3 linked regions of the Yarrowia lipolytica genome follow. The protein of the gene in region 3 interacts with the protein of the main gene of each other region in a pairwise test. Links are inferred from orthologs where the notes say so. Each region holds a gene or a part of one and is shown on either strand. Other genes may lie near its edges.

The links.
Region 1: the proteins of YALI1_F14958g (region 3) and YALI1_E18961g interact in a protein complementation assay, tested with the Saccharomyces cerevisiae proteins (2 studies listed by BioGRID). The link is inferred for Yarrowia lipolytica from reciprocal best matches to the Saccharomyces cerevisiae genes ERG25 and ERG1.
Region 2: the proteins of YALI1_F14958g (region 3) and YALI1_D07696g interact in a protein complementation assay, tested with the Saccharomyces cerevisiae proteins (2 studies listed by BioGRID). The link is inferred for Yarrowia lipolytica from reciprocal best matches to the Saccharomyces cerevisiae genes ERG25 and ALG5.

What each region holds. Positions count from the first base shown.
Region 1 is NC_090774.1:1,893,124-1,899,178, reverse strand, and holds YALI1_E18961g (uncharacterized protein), read left to right. Parts: upstream 1-3,023; coding exon 3,024-4,493; downstream 4,494-6,055. Other genes in the region: YALI1_E18990g (uncharacterized protein), read right to left, coding at 1-115; YALI1_E18927g (uncharacterized protein), read right to left, coding at 4,763-6,055. UniProt on the Saccharomyces cerevisiae protein: Squalene epoxidase; part of the third module of ergosterol biosynthesis pathway that includes the late steps of the pathway. ERG1 catalyzes the epoxidation of squalene into 2,3-epoxysqualene.
Region 2 is NC_090773.1:767,103-772,554, reverse strand, and holds YALI1_D07696g (uncharacterized protein), read left to right. Parts: upstream 1-2,915; coding exon 2,916-3,890; downstream 3,891-5,452. Other genes in the region: YALI1_D07729g (uncharacterized protein), read left to right, coding at 1-1,247; YALI1_D07665g (uncharacterized protein), read right to left, coding at 4,217-5,452. UniProt on the Saccharomyces cerevisiae protein: Endoplasmic reticulum membrane-bound UDP-glucose:dolichyl-phosphate glucosyltransferase involved in protein N-linked glycosylation.
Region 3 is NC_090775.1:1,492,899-1,498,479, forward strand, and holds YALI1_F14958g (uncharacterized protein), read left to right. Parts: upstream 1-2,973; coding exon 2,974-3,903; downstream 3,904-5,581. Other genes in the region: YALI1_F14933g (uncharacterized protein), read right to left, coding at 216-458; YALI1_F14946g (uncharacterized protein), read right to left, coding at 1,193-1,753; YALI1_F15017g (uncharacterized protein), read right to left, coding at 4,955-5,581.

The DNA of each region.
Region 1 (6,055 bases), on a different chromosome or scaffold from region 3:
CCCAGTTGAAGATCATGTTCATGCTGCACATTTCGGGCATGTCGCCGTGGCCGGGCATATCGGGCATGGGCATGTCGTGGCCACTGTGGTCCATCATGTGGTGAGAGTGGTCCATTTTTTTGTGTGGACGTGTGGACGTGTGAGGTTGTGTTATCTGATGTTCTCTGGGTTGGGAGTGGGTTAATTAAATAGCCATCTCACACACGCTTCAAAAATGCTCGAACCTGCATGGAGATAGAGGGCAAATGTGGCTGGCGCCACCCGGAAAACTAGCTTGAGGCGCACAGTTCGAGTGCGAACACTTGTACCGGAATATTGTGTGGCAATTGCGGTTCATGTCGTTTGCTGGATAAGGTCCTGATCACTTGTCAAGTCTGATCCTGATCACTTGTCAAGTCTGTACAGAGTATGATGTCCCCGCAAGTGTATCTAGAGTCAACTGCTGTATCGCTTATCGGGGAGTACGTACATGCTCGATTCAATGAATCGGCAAGTTGTATGAATGCGGAAGGGTTCCTTTTGGTCTTTCTTTCCTTTTTTGTCTTTCTTTTCCTTTCTTTCGGTATTCTCGCCCCGCTGTTACTCCCTATTCCGTGTGGTTTGGCCGTTAAGTGCAGGAGGGAATCGAACTTCGTAAGGCTGTGGATTGTGCAGCGGCTATTCACTTGAGGATCCGATGATGACTGCAGATCACGTATTTCCCTAGGGTTATTTATATATATATATTATTATTTATTTTATTTTTATTTTCCACGAGCATCTTTTATGGTCAATTGTCCAACATCCTAATTGAAGATCATAAGTATTATTGATGTGATATAGTTAACAACTTACAACCCACTCCGATAGTAGCACACACCCTTCTGGTGTGTGCTTGCTCATTCGCCAGAAAAGACTAGATCAGTGGATAAAACTATCTACAGGATGGACATCTCGTCGTCTACGACCCAGCTGATTTCTCTCATCACTATGTGGTGACATCTCACCATTATGTGAGGAATTAGCCAGGTATTACACTACCGGGTATGACTTCCTTCAGCACATGCAAGGCCTTCTGCCAAAAGATTGACGTCCCTTCCATCTAAAATGGCGGCTGAATCTTGTTGGATCTTACTGGAGGCCAAGGACGGCCCGCTGAACTACATTAGAGCGAGCCATGCGAAAAACTGGCCTATCTTGTAGTGACCCCTTGGTCCAGCGAGACTGGCTCGCTTGTTCAACCGAGTTTCTGCAGCATATCGTCGTCATGGCTGAGGTGGATGCGCAGCGGCGAATGAGCGCCGAGGTGATTTCACTCTACAAGTAGGAGGATTATTGCAATGGCTGGTACACATTGCGTATCTGTGGAAACTGCTCGCGCTGAATAAACTCGCTGACGACTGATTAATGAAAATGGAATATTGGGGGAAAAATATATATATTTTATTTTAAAACATAAAATAAAAATAAAATAAAATAAAATAAAACATAAAAATAAAACATAAAAAACCAACACAACACCCCAATACTCCTACTCCCCGATTCCACTACCACTCAATCAAGATACACACGAATCTTTCCCATGCTAATGACACCTTCTACGGTCCCTTCGAGATCAAACTAAACCAAGGAGTTTGGAGAAGACAGGAGACCCAGAATAAATATATAAAAAACATATATAAAAAAGAGAAGAAAAAACACGATTGATACGATTTATGACTAACTAACTCGAGACCAGGACGATGAACCAAAGACTTGCGCCTCGAAACGCATATCGAGATTATCAAGTGTATGATTAACGCCAACAACCCGGCTTCATGTATATATAGATGTGATGAATCGAGAGAATACTAAAATATAATATATATATATAAAGGACAGCCAGATATCACGTTCGTTGAATTAATATATATCATTCATGTGAACGGTTTTTTTTTATTTATTTATTTTTTTTATTTTATTTTATTTTATTTTATTTTATTTTATTTTATTTTTTATTTATTTTATTTTATTTTTTTTATATTTTATTTTATTTTATTTTTTTTATTTATTTTATTTATTTTATTTTATTTTATTTTATTTTATTTTATTTTTTTTTATTTTTTATTTATTTTTTATTTATTTTATTTATTTTATTTTATTTTATTTTTATTTTATTTCTTTTACTTTCTTTCTTCTCTTTCTCCCTTGTCTCAGCCCTCAGATGCCCAACCATTTAAAGTTGGAGCGTGTGTTCATTTCTGGTTGAAAAATCTGCGAGCGGAGAAATGTGGCATAACAGACGTGTATCCACAGTTACATGTGATATTGCAACATGGCACGATGGAACGTCGCGCGAGCCTCAGCGACACGTGGATGTGTGTCAGTGCGGCTTGTGATGGCCGTCTCACCTGCAGATGCAATTTAGCGCTCGCTAGACGCGCTTTTGGCCCAGTCCAGGGCAAGGTGTTACCCAAACAACTAGTGAACGAGCCACGCGAGGATATGCGACCGTTAACGACGAGACAAGTCAAAGTGTCTAAACCCAAAATGTGTGCCAGGGGGGGGGAGAATAAAAAAAAATCGGTCTTAGCTGTACGAGTAATAGCGGTCGAGAACAATGCCAGATACTAACACGACTTATATAGAGCTAGCAGGAAAGGGGGGACAAAAACGCTCGTAAAAACACAACCGAAACGCCGGTCTTCTCTTCTCCTACACAGACACCACTCGGGCCCACCGGACCTGCACTTCTGGGGGAGCAAACACGTTAAAAACAAAAGCACAAGCACAAGCACAAGCACATCAGCATCAGAGCCACGGACAAAGTTTATCAACATCGCCCTTTTTTTGAATCGAACGATAAATATCACCAGCAGCAACAGATTGCAGAGTTGGACCACTTCTCCAGACTGCGTAAACAGGTGATACTTGGTGGTATAAGAACAACATACCCACGCTCTCTCGCCCGCACATTCGTTCCGACGCATTTACAAACCGCCAGTCTCTCGCTCAACGCTCACATAAATTAATCACACAACAGCCCACACTCACACTCACACAAAATGGTCACCCAACAGTCTGCAGCAGAGACCAGCGCCACCCAGACCAACGAGTACGACGTGGTCATTGTCGGAGCTGGTATTGCCGGGCCCGCTCTGGCCGTGGCTCTTGGAAATCAGGGCAGAAAGGTTCTTGTTGTGGAACGAGATCTCTCCGAACCGGACCGAATCGTGGGAGAGCTGCTTCAGCCCGGAGGAGTCGCTGCTCTCAAGACTCTGGGTCTCGGCTCTTGTATCGAGGATATCGACGCGATCCCCTGCCAGGGATACAACGTGATCTACTCTGGAGAAGAGTGCGTTCTCAAATACCCCAAGGTCCCCCGAGACATCCAGCAGGACTACAACGAGCTGTACAGAAGCGGAAAGTCTGCCGACATCTCCAACGAGGCTCCCCGAGGAGTATCCTTCCACCACGGCCGATTTGTCATGAACTTGCGAAGGGCCGCACGAGACACACCCAATGTGACTCTGCTGGAGGCCACAGTCACCGAGGTGGTCAAGAACCCTTACACCGGCCACATTATTGGAGTCAAGACCTTCTCTAAAACTGGAGGCGCCAAAATCTACAAGCACTTCTTTGCTCCTCTCACCGTCGTCTGTGATGGAACTTTTTCCAAGTTCCGAAAGGACTTTAGCACCAACAAGACGTCTGTGCGTTCGCATTTCGCCGGTCTGATTCTCAAGGACGCTGTTCTGCCCTCCCCCCAGCATGGCCACGTGATTCTGTCGCCCAACTCGTGTCCCGTTCTTGTCTACCAGGTTGGAGCTCGAGAGACCCGAATTCTGTGTGACATTCAGGGACCCGTCCCCTCTAATGCAACCGGAGCCCTCAAGGAACACATGGAGAAGAACGTCATGCCCCACCTGCCTAAGTCCATCCAGCCGTCTTTCCAAGCCGCTCTCAAGGAGCAGACCATTCGAGTCATGCCCAACTCTTTCCTGTCGGCCTCCAAGAACGATCACCACGGTTTGATTCTGCTGGGTGACGCACTCAACATGCGACATCCACTTACCGGAGGAGGAATGACCGTTGCTCTCAATGATGCCCTTCTACTCAGCAGACTTCTCACCGGCGTTAACCTGGAAGACACCTATGCCGTGTCCTCCGTCATGAGCTCGCAGTTCCACTGGCAGCGAAAACACCTCGACTCCATCGTCAACATTCTCTCCATGGCCCTCTACTCGCTCTTCGCCGCCGACTCGGACTACTTGCGAATCCTGCAGCTCGGATGCTTCAACTACTTCAAGCTGGGAGGCATCTGTGTGGACCACCCCGTCATGCTGTTGGCTGGAGTTCTCCCCCGACCCATGTACCTGTTTACGCATTTCTTCGTAGTGGCCATCTACGGCGGAATCTGCAACATGCAGGCCAACGGCATTGCCAAGCTGCCCGCGTCGCTACTGCAATTTGTCGCCTCTCTGGTCACCGCTTGCATCGTCATCTTCCCTTACATTTGGAGCGAGCTGACTTAGACGTTCGTTGGACCTGGGCCAGCGACATGAAGAGATACTAACTAGATGATCTACTTGTAGCATATAGACTAATTTGAATGAATAATGATAGACCATACGAGTACTGTACTTTCGAAAACACGCCATGCCTGCCTGGCACACAAAAGCAATTCTCTCATGGCATGATGCTAAATCATATGACAAAACATATCAACTCTACATGTATATATATGTTCATTTAATTCATAAACAATTTGATTGATAAATATTCACAATTTAACACATCGCGCTTAGAGCTTGGAAGAGCTGCCAACGGAGGTGATCTGGTCGTAAAGGAGAGTGGTGAGGAAGTCGGAGTACTTGTCGCCAACAATCTCGGGCTTGAAGTAAGCGGCGGCCTCAGCAAACTTGTTGCCGGGCTTGGAGTTCTTGATGAGCTTGTCGGTCTCCTCGTTGAGAAGCTTGACGGCGTAGTCCTTGGTGACCTTCTTGCCTTCGGCGGTGGTAACACCGTGCTTGACCCACTGGTGGAGCTGAGATCGAGACACCTCAGCGGTGGCAGCATCCTCCATCAAGTAGTTGATGGGGACACAACCAAGACCACGGAGCCAGGCCTCCATGTAGCCAAGACCGATGAACAGGTTCTTTCGGATACCCTCCTCGGTGATCTTGCCGCCCTCAATGTAAGGGTTGATGAGGTCTCGAGCGGTGATGTGGACATCCTCTCGTCGTCGGTAGATCTGGTTAGGAGTGGGCATGTGCTTGTTGAAAACCTCGGAGGCGATGATGGCAAGCTGGGGGTGAGCAACCCAGGTACCGTCGTGGCCGGCGGTCACCTCTCGGAGCTTGTCCTTGTAGACACCCTCCATGGCAACCTTGTTGGCAGCAGCATCGTTCTTGATGGGGATCTGAGCAGCCATACCGCCCATGGCGTGGACGCCTCGCTTGTGGCAGGTCTGGATGAGGAGCTTGACGTAAGCAGACATGTAAGGGACGGTCATGGTAACGTCACCTCGGTCGGGGAGAACAAACTCGGGATGGTTCTTGAACTTCTTGATGAAGGAGAAGATGTAATCCCATCGGCCACAGTTGAGACCAGAGGAGTGCTCTCGGAGCTCGTAGATGATCTCGTCCATCTCAAAGGCGGCGAGAATGGTCTCGATCAGAACGGTACCTCGGATGGTTCCTCGGGGCATGCCGATCCAGTCCTGAGAGAGCTTGAAGACGTCGTTCCAGAGTCGGGCCTCAAGGTGGGACTCCATCTTGGGGAGGTAGAAGTAAGGGCCAGCGCCTCGAGCAACGGACTCCTTGGCGTTGTTGAAGAAGTACAGACCGAAATCAAAGAGACCACCGGAGATGGGCTTGCCATCAACAAGGAAGTGGGTCTCATCAAGGTGCCAGCCTCGAGGTCGGACGATAAGGGTGGGGAGCTTCTCCTTGTCGGATCGGAGCTTGTAAGACTTTCCACCGGGGGCCTGGAAGGTGATGGTTCGTCGGACACCGTCGTAGAGGTTGACCTGACCATCGACCATGTTGGACCAGGTGGGGGCAGAGGAGTCCTCAAAGTCAGCCATGTAGGTCCA
Region 2 (5,452 bases), on a different chromosome or scaffold from region 3:
GCGTAGTGGACACCATGCAAAAGTACCCCAACATGCTGGGTTTCTTTGCCGGAAACGAGGTCACTAACAACAACACCAACACCGATGCGTCTCCCTACGTCAAGGCTGCCATCCGAGACATGAAGTCGTACATGAAGGAGAAGTCGTACCGATCCATTCCCGTCGGATACGCCACCAACGATGACGAGAAGACCCGAGACGACCTGGCCACCTATTTCCAGTGCGGCAACGCCTCCGAGGCAGCCGATTTCTACGGAATCAACATCTACGAGTGGTGTGGAGACGCCACCTTTGAGTCCTCCGGTTACCAGCAGCGAACCGAGGAGTACAAGAACTTCACCATCCCCATCTTCTTCTCCGAGTACGGCTGCAACCGAGTCAAGCCGCGACAGTTCTCCGACGTGCCCGTTCTGTTTGGCCCCAACATGACCGACGTCTGGTCCGGAGGAATCGTCTACATGTACTTTGAGGAGCAGAACCAGTACGGTCTGGTGTCTGTTTCCGGAAGCTCCGTCTCCACTCTCGACGACTTCAACAACCTGTCTTCGCAGATGGCTAAGATTTCTCCTTCCTCCGCCAACACCAACGACTACAAGCCCTCTCAGACCGCTGGTGGCGTCTCGTGCCCCGACTTCAACGCCAACTGGAAAGGCTCTCCCACCCTGCCTCCCACCCCCAAGGTCGGAACCTGTCAGTGCATCAACGATGGCTCTTCTTGTGTCGTCAACTCGGACACTAACGCCAAGAACTACGGCGATCTCTTTGGAGAGCTGTGCGGTAACCTCGATGTGGACTGCTCCGAGATCCAGTCCAACGGAACCTCCGGCAAGTACGGAGACCTGTCCTTCTGTGACGCCAAGCAGAAGCTCAACTTCCTCATGGGCAAGTACTACGACTCCCAGAACGGCAACTCTCAGGCCTGCGACTTTTCTTCCCAGGCCTCCATTGTCCAGAGCCCCAAGACCGGATCCAACTGCCAGAACGCCCAGGCCACTGCTGTCTCTTCCGGCTCGTCCGGCTCTTCCGGCTCGTCCGGCTCTGGATCTTCGGGCTCTGGATCGTCCGGATCCTCGGGCTCTGGCTCGGGCTCTGCTAAGGGCTCTGCTGCTGCCGCTGCCTCTGGCTCGGCCGCCGCCTCGTCCTCCAAGGGCGGAAACAAGAAGAGCGCCGGCGCCTCGCTGGCTGCCGAGAAGGTGGTTGCCTCCGTCGTGTTTGGCGCCATCGCCATCATGGCCGTTATTGTTTAACATTCTAAAAAGTTAGATCGGAAGAGCGGTTCAGCATTCATTTGTAGGTAGTACAAAAATGGGGGTGGGGGGGGGGGGGGCAGATTTGTGGTGTCAATTGTGGTGTCAAAATGAAGCTGAGCAAGCGACCTTTTCAAATGTCTCAAAAAAGCGTCATCGGCCAATCACAAGTGCCGAGAAATGGTCAGATCACAAATTTTTCAAGATAGTTTTTCACATTATAGAGTAACCTCGAGTAATTTTTAACTTAACAAATACCTCAATAAACTACTTGGGAATACTACCAAAAATACTAGCAAAATACTCCACCACGGGTCGTAAAACTGCACTATTTATTGTGCATCCGACTCCACGGATGGTTCCAGACGTTGACAAGACACTAAAAACACCGCTACCTGTACGTGTAGGACCAGTGCCCTGAATTTTGCCAAAATTTCGCAGATTTTCGCCAAAATGACGCTAGCAAGAAAATTGGCGCGTCACGAGCACGTGGTGAAAACCCAAGACCCAAACTGAATCTGCGCTGTACTACCACTCACCCAAACAGGCCATGGATTATCAGATCTGCAGACGTGGCGGGGCCCGGTTGCTGGATGGGGACAAGAGCAGTAAAACACAGCTTATGAGCGGGTCGATTTGACAGTGTTGTTTTTTATCGAGTCAAAAACCTCAAAATAGCAACAACAACCGCTCATGTTCATCCAATGGAGCCATTCAGACTACTGTTGTGGATGTTGACGAACGGCTAATCACTCAAGTGAAAAACACAAAATTCCCGGAACCGAACTTTACACAGGGGCATAAACAGTGTATAGAGCGGGATTGAAGAGAGATAAACAGAAGAAGAAAACGAAAATCAACTGAAACGGAAAATTTGGGCTATTATGCCAACTTTTCAGAGTGATAGTGCCCCTGAATCGCTTTCAAATCTGCGTCCCAAATGAACCACAACTCTGCCTTGCCAAACTCAAATTTATGTAGACAAATGGACATAGGCGAATGGTAAACATGTGTTTGTGGTGTTGTTGCGGTGGAAAAACAACGCAGATTTTTCTAAAATAGCCTCGAGAAACGTGTTTTCAGTTCATTTGTAAAAACCGGCTCTCAAATTCGTCACTTGCAACGGCTACAACAGCGCCCCCTATTCAGCCGTCTCCAAAAGCTGCGCAAGTTTAATGTCCAAAAATAACACACGCCCAAACTGGTGAAATACGTGTTTCTGAAATGTGGAAATTATAATTGAGATATCGGTGATACTCCAGAATCAGTTCAGTATTCATCTGTCAAAAATAACTGTCTCAAATCATCTATTTATGTCCATAAATCATCCTGTTGTCACCCAATCGGCTCTGTCGAGGGCTGAGTTTAATATTGGTGTAATATATATATACTCCAACTTGGTCACCTTTCAACTTGACGAATAATGCTCAAAATGAAATTATGAAAAGAGAAATTTGTACAAAAATGGCGATACAATCACCTCAGCTATTTTAATCACCTCCAAAAAGGCCCCTAAAGCCTACAGGCACACCTGCTTCGCCAACAAGTGCTCAACTCAAAGTAGGCTCTACCGAAACTCTACTGTACTCTGCCTACAGGGCCCACGTAACCTCATCTCCGTTGTCTTACCATCTTCACCACTACCACCACCACCACCCACACGCCAACATGTTCTACGTGGTGGCTGCGCTCGTGGCGCTCATTCTCGCGGTGTACGCCGCCGTGTTTGCCTTTTCGCACAAGCCTCGACCGGTGCACAAACACGAGCAGTTCTTTGAAACCACCGTGGCCGACGGATCGGTGTCGCCCAAACAGCCGCTTGTGGCTCTGGAGAAGCAGGCACACGGACGCAAAGACACCGACGCCGACGACGACGACGACTACGTGTTCATTTCGGTGGTAGTGCCCTGCTACAACGAAACGAAGCGACTGGGAGTCATGCTGGAAGACGCGGTGCCAGTGCTGGACGCTCTCAAGCAGCCCTACGAGGTGATCATCGTCGACGACGGCTCGCGCGACAAGACCCCCGAGTTTGCGCTCGAGTGGGCATCTCAACACATGAAACCCGGCTCTTTGAGGGTCACCCGACTGGCCAAAAACCGAGGTAAGGGAGGAGCGGTGGCCCACGGAATGCGCTTCTCGCGAGGCAAGTACGTGCTCTTTGCCGACGCCGACGGAGCCTCGGACTTCAAGGACATGCCGCGACTTCTAGAGGCTGTCAAGGTCAACGACGGAGTGGCTATCGGCTCCAGAGCACACATGGTCGGCACGGATGCCGTGGTCAAGCGGTCCTTCATCCGCAACTTTCTCATGAGAGGCCTGCATCTGCTGGTGTGGACATTTGGAGTGCGGACCATCAGAGACACTCAGTGCGGCTTCAAGCTCTTTTCTCGACGAGCCACCGAAAACATCTTCCCTTACATGCACACCGAGGGCTGGATTTTCGACGTCGAGGTGCTCATGCTGGCCCAGAGAAAAGGTCTGGCCATTGCCGAGATTCCCATTTCGTGGCACGAGGTGGAGGGCTCGAAAATCGATCTCGCTGCTGACAGTATCAAGATGGCCATCGATTTGGTGGTCACTCGAGTGGCCTATATCATTGGTGTTTATGGAGATCGAGAAGTGAATTTCAAGGTGGAGTGAAAAGAGTGCCAACCACCATGACTACAGCAGAGAGTTGCAGAACAGCTCTGGCTGACTCACAGGGCCCATGAGACACTACAACAACTCACCTGTGAGCATCAAAAGACAGCTCCAACGAGCTGCAACCGCCAAGGGGATTGTATTTATGTATTATATATTATAGACAGTAATAGAGAAGGGATGTGATAGAATGATTGCGCTACAGACACGCCCATAGAGCGAATAAGTAGTATAACCATGGCTTAACATACCTACTGCACTTCTCCCGCAGTATTCAATGATGTCTTTTATTCGATTCGTTAACATGATATATATCTAGCCGTTCTCTAATCCAGCTTGTTGACCCGGTCGCTGTCTCCCACCTTGTAGACAATACCAGAGACCTTGCCGTTGTTGACAATCTCGTTTTCAGACACAAAGTCGGGCTTGATGAGCTTGGGCCAGTTGACAAACTGCAGACCGTTCTTGGTCATGTATCGCACCGACCACACCAGTACCAGCACCCAGAAGCCCACAAATGATCGGCTCACCAGAGCAGACAGATCCTGTCGGGGGAAGAAGGTGGCACAGAGAATGAGCACCACGGCAGACAGAACCATGTAGGGCACGGCCTGGAACAGAATGGGGCGCACGTCGTAGAAGCGGGCAGGTCGGCCCGAGTAGGGCACGTAGTTGCCCAGGAACAGGTCGAAAGAGTCCTGACGAATGCCGTCCTGGAAGTTGTTCTTGATGTATCGGGTGGCGGAGTTGAGACCGTCGTTGAGAGCGCCCTGTTTGGTTCGCTTGCCCAGACGGGTGAAATCAGTCTTGAGAGCACCGGTTCCAGAATAAGTGACGGACACTGCATTGGCGTTGTCGGCCCACACGTTTCGGAAGATGAGCTCGAACTTGGGCTCAGTAGTCTCCCACTTCTGGCCGGGGGCCAGAATTCCGGCAGCCTCAAACTGCTTCTGCAGCACCCATCGGCCCAAGGTGGACTGGACCACGTTAGTTCGGTCCAGGCAGTCCATGCAGTTGGTTCGCACGACGGAGGTCTGGTTAGCCTGGGGCTGCAGCTGACGGTTGGGCATGAGGGTAGCCTCAAAGTAGCCCTGCTGGTCGAGACCCAGCTCCTGCAGCCGCTCAATCAGCAACAGGACACGGTGCCATCGCATCTTGGAGCACTCGTGGTGGAAGTCAAAGTAGACGTACGAGACCTGGTCCTCGGGGTAGCCGAGCTGGTCGACCAGCTGCTCGTAGGCCCGCTTGACAGGCAGCTCGTAGCCCTTCTGGTTGACGAGGTTGACGAGGTAGTTGCGACCGTACCGCTTGATCTGGTCGTCAAAGTGCAGCTTGGCGGCGTCCGTGGCGGGCTGGCCAATCTGCAGGTTGGGCTTGTACTTGAGGTTGATGACCTCGCCCCAGTACACGGGGACGGAGCCTCGGGTCTGCAGGTAGGAGAAGACACGTGGGGGCTCGGCGGTGCCTTCGACGATGAGCAGCTGCTCGGTCTCGTTGAAGTTTGCCACGTTGCCGTGGGCGTCAATTCCTCGTCGGAAGTACCGGGTGCCGGCTCTGTGTCG
Region 3 (5,581 bases):
GGCTTGTGCATGTTGGATGCATATTTTATGTGGTTTACTGCAATTAAATGCAATTAAATGAATTAATAGTCAACGGTCGCTGGCCGCTCAATTTACGGGTACAGTGATTACTGTTGTGAATAATGCAGCTCAATTATGTTATGAATAAATAGGTCTCTGGGGAAAAGCTCAGGAAATATGATGGGGTTTTGTAGTTTGGGTCCAAAACAAGATGCTTATTTCAGGTTGGTGAAGTCAACCTCGCCCTCCATCAGACCGGCGTTCTCCTCGTTCTTTCGGGAGCAGGTGCACTGAGAGGCCTGTCGCATGCCGCAGGAGCAGGCGTCAGTGGGCTTGACGTTCTCGACGGCAGCCTTGGAGCAGTCGCAGTGCTGAGCGGGCATCTTACCACAAGAGCAGGTGGCTTCGATAGCACAGACACAGGAGTTGGACTTCTTGCAGCAGGTAGAGGCGGCCATTTTAATAGATGTTTGTGTTGGTTGGTTGGTTGGTTGGTCGATTGGTTGTTCGTGTCAGATGTGTAGCTTGGAGGCTTGATACTGAAACTATCGAGCGTGTGGAGAGGTCTTTATACTAGCCACACCATGTCATGCTCGTATACATGTTTTAGACTTCTCGCTAACCTTACGCCCCCGCTGACCTTTTCCGGCACTGTGATTGGCCGGTTGGTCCCATAACGCACGTGACCCATCAGTGGCGTGTCTCGCTGACCTTTGCTGGGGATTTGATTGGCTGACGAGGAGGGTGAATCACGTGATGATCTGAGAGGTGCACAGATATGCTGACCTTTGAAGCGCGTCTGATTGGCTGGGTCGTGACCAAGTCACGTGATCCCGAGAGTGGAACATTCCCACAACCTGTTTAATCATGGCGAATACACAGGGCTAAGGTGGCTGGTAAGGTGGCCAAAATAAGACGCAAAAAGTGAGGCTTGTGTGTGGGTTATCAGATTGTCTCTGGAGGGGCGAATACGTTGGGAAAAAAATGGAAAAACGGGAGGAATTGCTGAGTAATATTTATTTGGACCTTGTGACCGACCCGTGTCGCAGCAAACATAATCCTGGTTTTGATGGACGATGCCAGTATCGAGTATGTAGAAGAACAGTTTCAAGTAAGAGACGTGGTGTCCATAGAGCTGCCGATGATACTCACTGTAAAGGTACATACTACAGTAGTCCATAGTCTTGAACATTCAATGCGCTCCAATGTTGTGATGAATATTGCGTCTTACCATGAAGAGTGGTTGCAGAAGTTGTATCATTTGATTGGACATTTCACGCTGATTTGATTCGTATGGCAAAATCTTTTTCCTTACAGAACGTCGACTTTTTGTAGTTGTGCTGTGGTAAAATAATCGGACAATTTTGGCCGAAAGTGGCAGACTTTTGACGAGGTTTGATCGACGATCTATGAAAATTTTAATCAAAATCATAATTAAAAAATAAATAAATAAATAAATCAAATTAAAAATCCAAATAAAAATCAAATAAAAATCAAAAAAAAAAATCAAATAAATAAATAAAAAAAAAAAAAAAAAACCATTGATCTTACTGTCGAATGTACGATACAGCACCACTCGCACTGTCTTATATGTACGTATGCTGTACTCTCGTATCAGCCTATTCCCAGAAGTGATAAAAAAGAACCGTCGCTGTTGATGTTGACGAAAACAGTCCAACATCCTATTCGTACAGTGCATACGACTACGGTACACGAACTTGTATCTCTCCTGTTCCGCTGTTGGTCGCACCATCGCTTACCGTCTAGTTGGTTAAACCTATTGTATGTACTGTACATACTCGTACTTGTAACTAATAACCACCGTTATCCACGCCGTTATCCGTTGTGCCATTGTTTACTTGTATCGTACTTCGGCTAATCGCCTGAGTGGTGTGAGTATAAAAAATGGCAGTCACACTTGTATTGCTGTACTGCGCCACACCTTAGCTGACCATACCTATGACGTTCCACGACGAGCACCGGTCCGGCACCCGACTCGTACTCGTCGTACTTGCAGCCTCATCCATACCCAGCAATGATGCCATGTTCCTATCCAGGGCACGGCCTCTTCATCACACCACCTGTGCTTCCGAGACTATATGTAAGCAAGTTGGGCAGTGTAAGTGGTGCAGGTCATGTGACCTTGTAAACAACAACCCGACTTTACAGTAACGCTTGGACACACTTGTTGGCCTGTTGAGTCAACCCGGGGCCAACCCAAGGCAACAAGGAGACCAAACCATCAATATATCGGACCAATATATCGGACCACGGTCGCCGCCGAATCGCCCCACATGGCGCTGGGCCGTTCCAGCTGAGCTGATGCCCCCCACGTCGCTCCCATCGTATATCCAAACCCTATCAGCATTTTTTCTGAAAAAGGCCGTTAAACGACATATACGACTTGGGAGTTGGATCAGTAGGCTGATGTTGATTTTTCAACCCATTTTACCAAACCAAAAAGCTAATCTAGCCGAGTCGATGGCGGATCGCGGACATGCTACTCTAGACCACGTTCCGGACGGCGGTTTCGACCGGCGAGGTTATGAGTACGTCAGAAGCAGACAGAAGAACAGATTGCGAGCACAAATCCGAGACCCACGGCCCCCTAAAACACGTCCAGGGCCCTAATCAGATGTGCCGTCGCGACGCCCCTGACGTGTTCACATGTTGAGTTTGGATGCAGAAGGTTCAGCATGTTTAGCCCGTTTGGGTTATCAGATGATTGCTTGCGGGGGTCGTTGGGGACCATTTCCACACGAATACACGGAAAAAAACCACACAGTCACACTCACCGTGTCAGTGCCATCATGTTGGTGCCCTTTACCCCCCAAATATCCCAGTTTACACATCTTGCAACCCCCCCGGGATACGACGCAAACGACAGGGTTAGGAGCAAAGGCTAATACTTTTCGTGTTTTATAGGCCCTCCCATCCCACCCTTTGGAGTCCCATATCTCACCTCGACACACCATGTCTTCGATTCTCGAGAGCATCAACTCCACCGTCACCCCCGCGGCCTCCTACATCGGCACCTACGCCAAGCTGTCCGACGCCCACGCCGACACCCTCAACATTGTCGAGCGGGTGTGGGCATCATACTTTGTGTGGTGGGGCAATGATCTCATTGCTTGCGGCATCTTCATTTTCCTGCTGCACGAGATTCTCTACTTTGGCCGGTGCGTGCCCTGGATGATCCTCGACCAGATCCCCTACTTTCACAAGTGGAAGATCCAGGGCGAGGCCAAGGTGCCCTCTGTGGCCGAGCAGTGGGAGTGCATGAAGTCCGTGCTCATCTCGCACTTTATGGTCGAGGCCATCCCCATCTGGGGCTTCTACCCCGTCTGCAAGTACGCCGGAATTTCCATCGACGTGCCCTTCCCCTCCTGGATGAAGATCTGTGCCCATCTCGCCCTATTTTTTGTGCTGGAGGATACCTGGCACTACTGGCTGCACCGAGGCCTTCACTACGGTCCCTTCTACAAGCACATCCACAAGCAGCACCACCGATACGCCGCTCCCTTTGGTTTGACTGCCGAGTACGCTCACCCCGTTGAGGTGGCTTTGCTTGGTGTCGGAACTGTGGGCATCCCCATTGCCTGGGTCATGCTAACCGGTGATCTCCATCTCTTCACCGTGTCTGTGTGGATCGCCCTGCGACTCTTCCAGGCCATCGACGCCCATTCTGGCTATGAGTTCCCCGTGTCTCTGCATCACTTCTTGCCCATCTGGGCCGGTGCCGACCACCACGATGACCACCATCGATACTTCACCGGCAACTACGCCTCGTCGTTCCGATGGTGGGACTTTGTGCTCGACACCGAGGCCGGTCCCGCCGCCAAGGCCGAGCGACAGCAGCGACTTGCCGCCAAGGCTGCTAAGAAGGCCAAGAAGCAGCAGTAAGCGACCCCGGCCACTCACTACGGTCGCGATACCCAATCCCGATCCAAAACTGACCCCAGTATATACATAAGTTATTTAATATGATACATTTCTCCTTACGACGAAGCGCCCAAAGCGCTACGCTCGAAGCTCTACGCTAGAAGCTCTACGCTAGAAGCTCTACGCTCGAAGCTCGACGCTCGATTAGCTCTCAGATCATGTACTTCAGATGCCCTCATCGTGTATAAATAGAAGCAGAAAAACAATTCCCTTTGGGGAAAGAGACAAAGAAAGGAAGGGTGAGGAAGCCCAAAAGAAGTAATGTGAAACTTTGCCGAAGTGACCCAACTTGGTGAACATGTTGTGATGGTGGAATAGGAGACATGTGGTTGATTGAAGGGAGGTTACAAGAGCCGGACTACATGATTTCAACAGTAGCCAGCATTACCTTTACTGTACTAAATATAATAATATATTATTATTATGGATTTATTATTATGATTATTATTGTTTAAGTAGGTCTTACATAATTCGCATATATACGAGAGTGTCTCATGACTAGACCAACAGTACCTACACACTTGTGGTACAATGTATATCAGGAGAGTGATGGCGTTACATCGGTGTTTCTTTTTCCAAAACACATCTACATGCTCGTGTGATCCTCCTGGTCAGTGGCAATACAGCTGTTTATGATGGATCTAGGGCTAGATCAACATGAAGAGAAAGAATCAAGACGAAGGACAGAAGAGATATAGCATACACCGATATCGTCTCACAGAATCCCAGTTACCAGTGGTTACTGTACTCGTCCATACACCGTGGAATACCCTCAAGTATCGTAGGGACCAAAGAGCTGTCAGTGCCTCTGGCAGTCTTTCTACCACCTCTCCCTCCATCTACCAACTGTCGTTTATGTCCATTGTTCCATGCTATGGGTCTGTAAAGACCACTGTACCCGCATCGTGTCTACACTCAACTCGCTCCAGGCGCTCCGCGGAGGACCTACCGCTGCCATGGCCTTGGCCAGTCGCAGCCCCTCGCACTCGTCAGTCTATAAATATATAAATAATTACATGCGCTTTTCAATTGTCGCGTTAAACAGTGCCAGGTTCAAAGCGGCGTCATTGACCCCCATGGTGGGGTTACTTTCCTCCAACAAGTCAAATGACCGCACGGTCACCTCGGAAAAGGCGTCGTTGGCCGTGCTGTACAGCAACAGGTCTCTTGTAGGCCCAGCCTTTGAGGGGGCCGAATTGGCAGGCTCAGCCACTTCGGAAAGCTCGCTCTTGAGAGCTGTCCACGTGTCCTGCAGCGTGGCCTTGAGGTCCGGCGTGGTGGCCACAAACGGTGAATCCAACAACGCCTGCAGCCCCTCAACCACATGGTTGCGCAACATGGTCACCTCGGCGTCCTCCGAGGCCATGAGCGACTTTTCGTGGATCATGGCAATCTTAAGGAACATGGAAATGCCCTCTGCGAGTCCCGGGGGATGGGGCTCACGCACAGACGCCTCCACCAGTCGCTGCAGACCCGAAGACAGCGCAAAAGTCTGTGTTTTACACACGTCTTCAGTGACCGAGTCCGCCAGAGAATCTGCCAACTCGATCAGAAGCGACACGATATTGTCTTCGCCCACTCGCGGAAAGTTGGGCGACGTGAGAAACGTGGTTTCTGCCCGGGCCAAAATGCGGCCCTT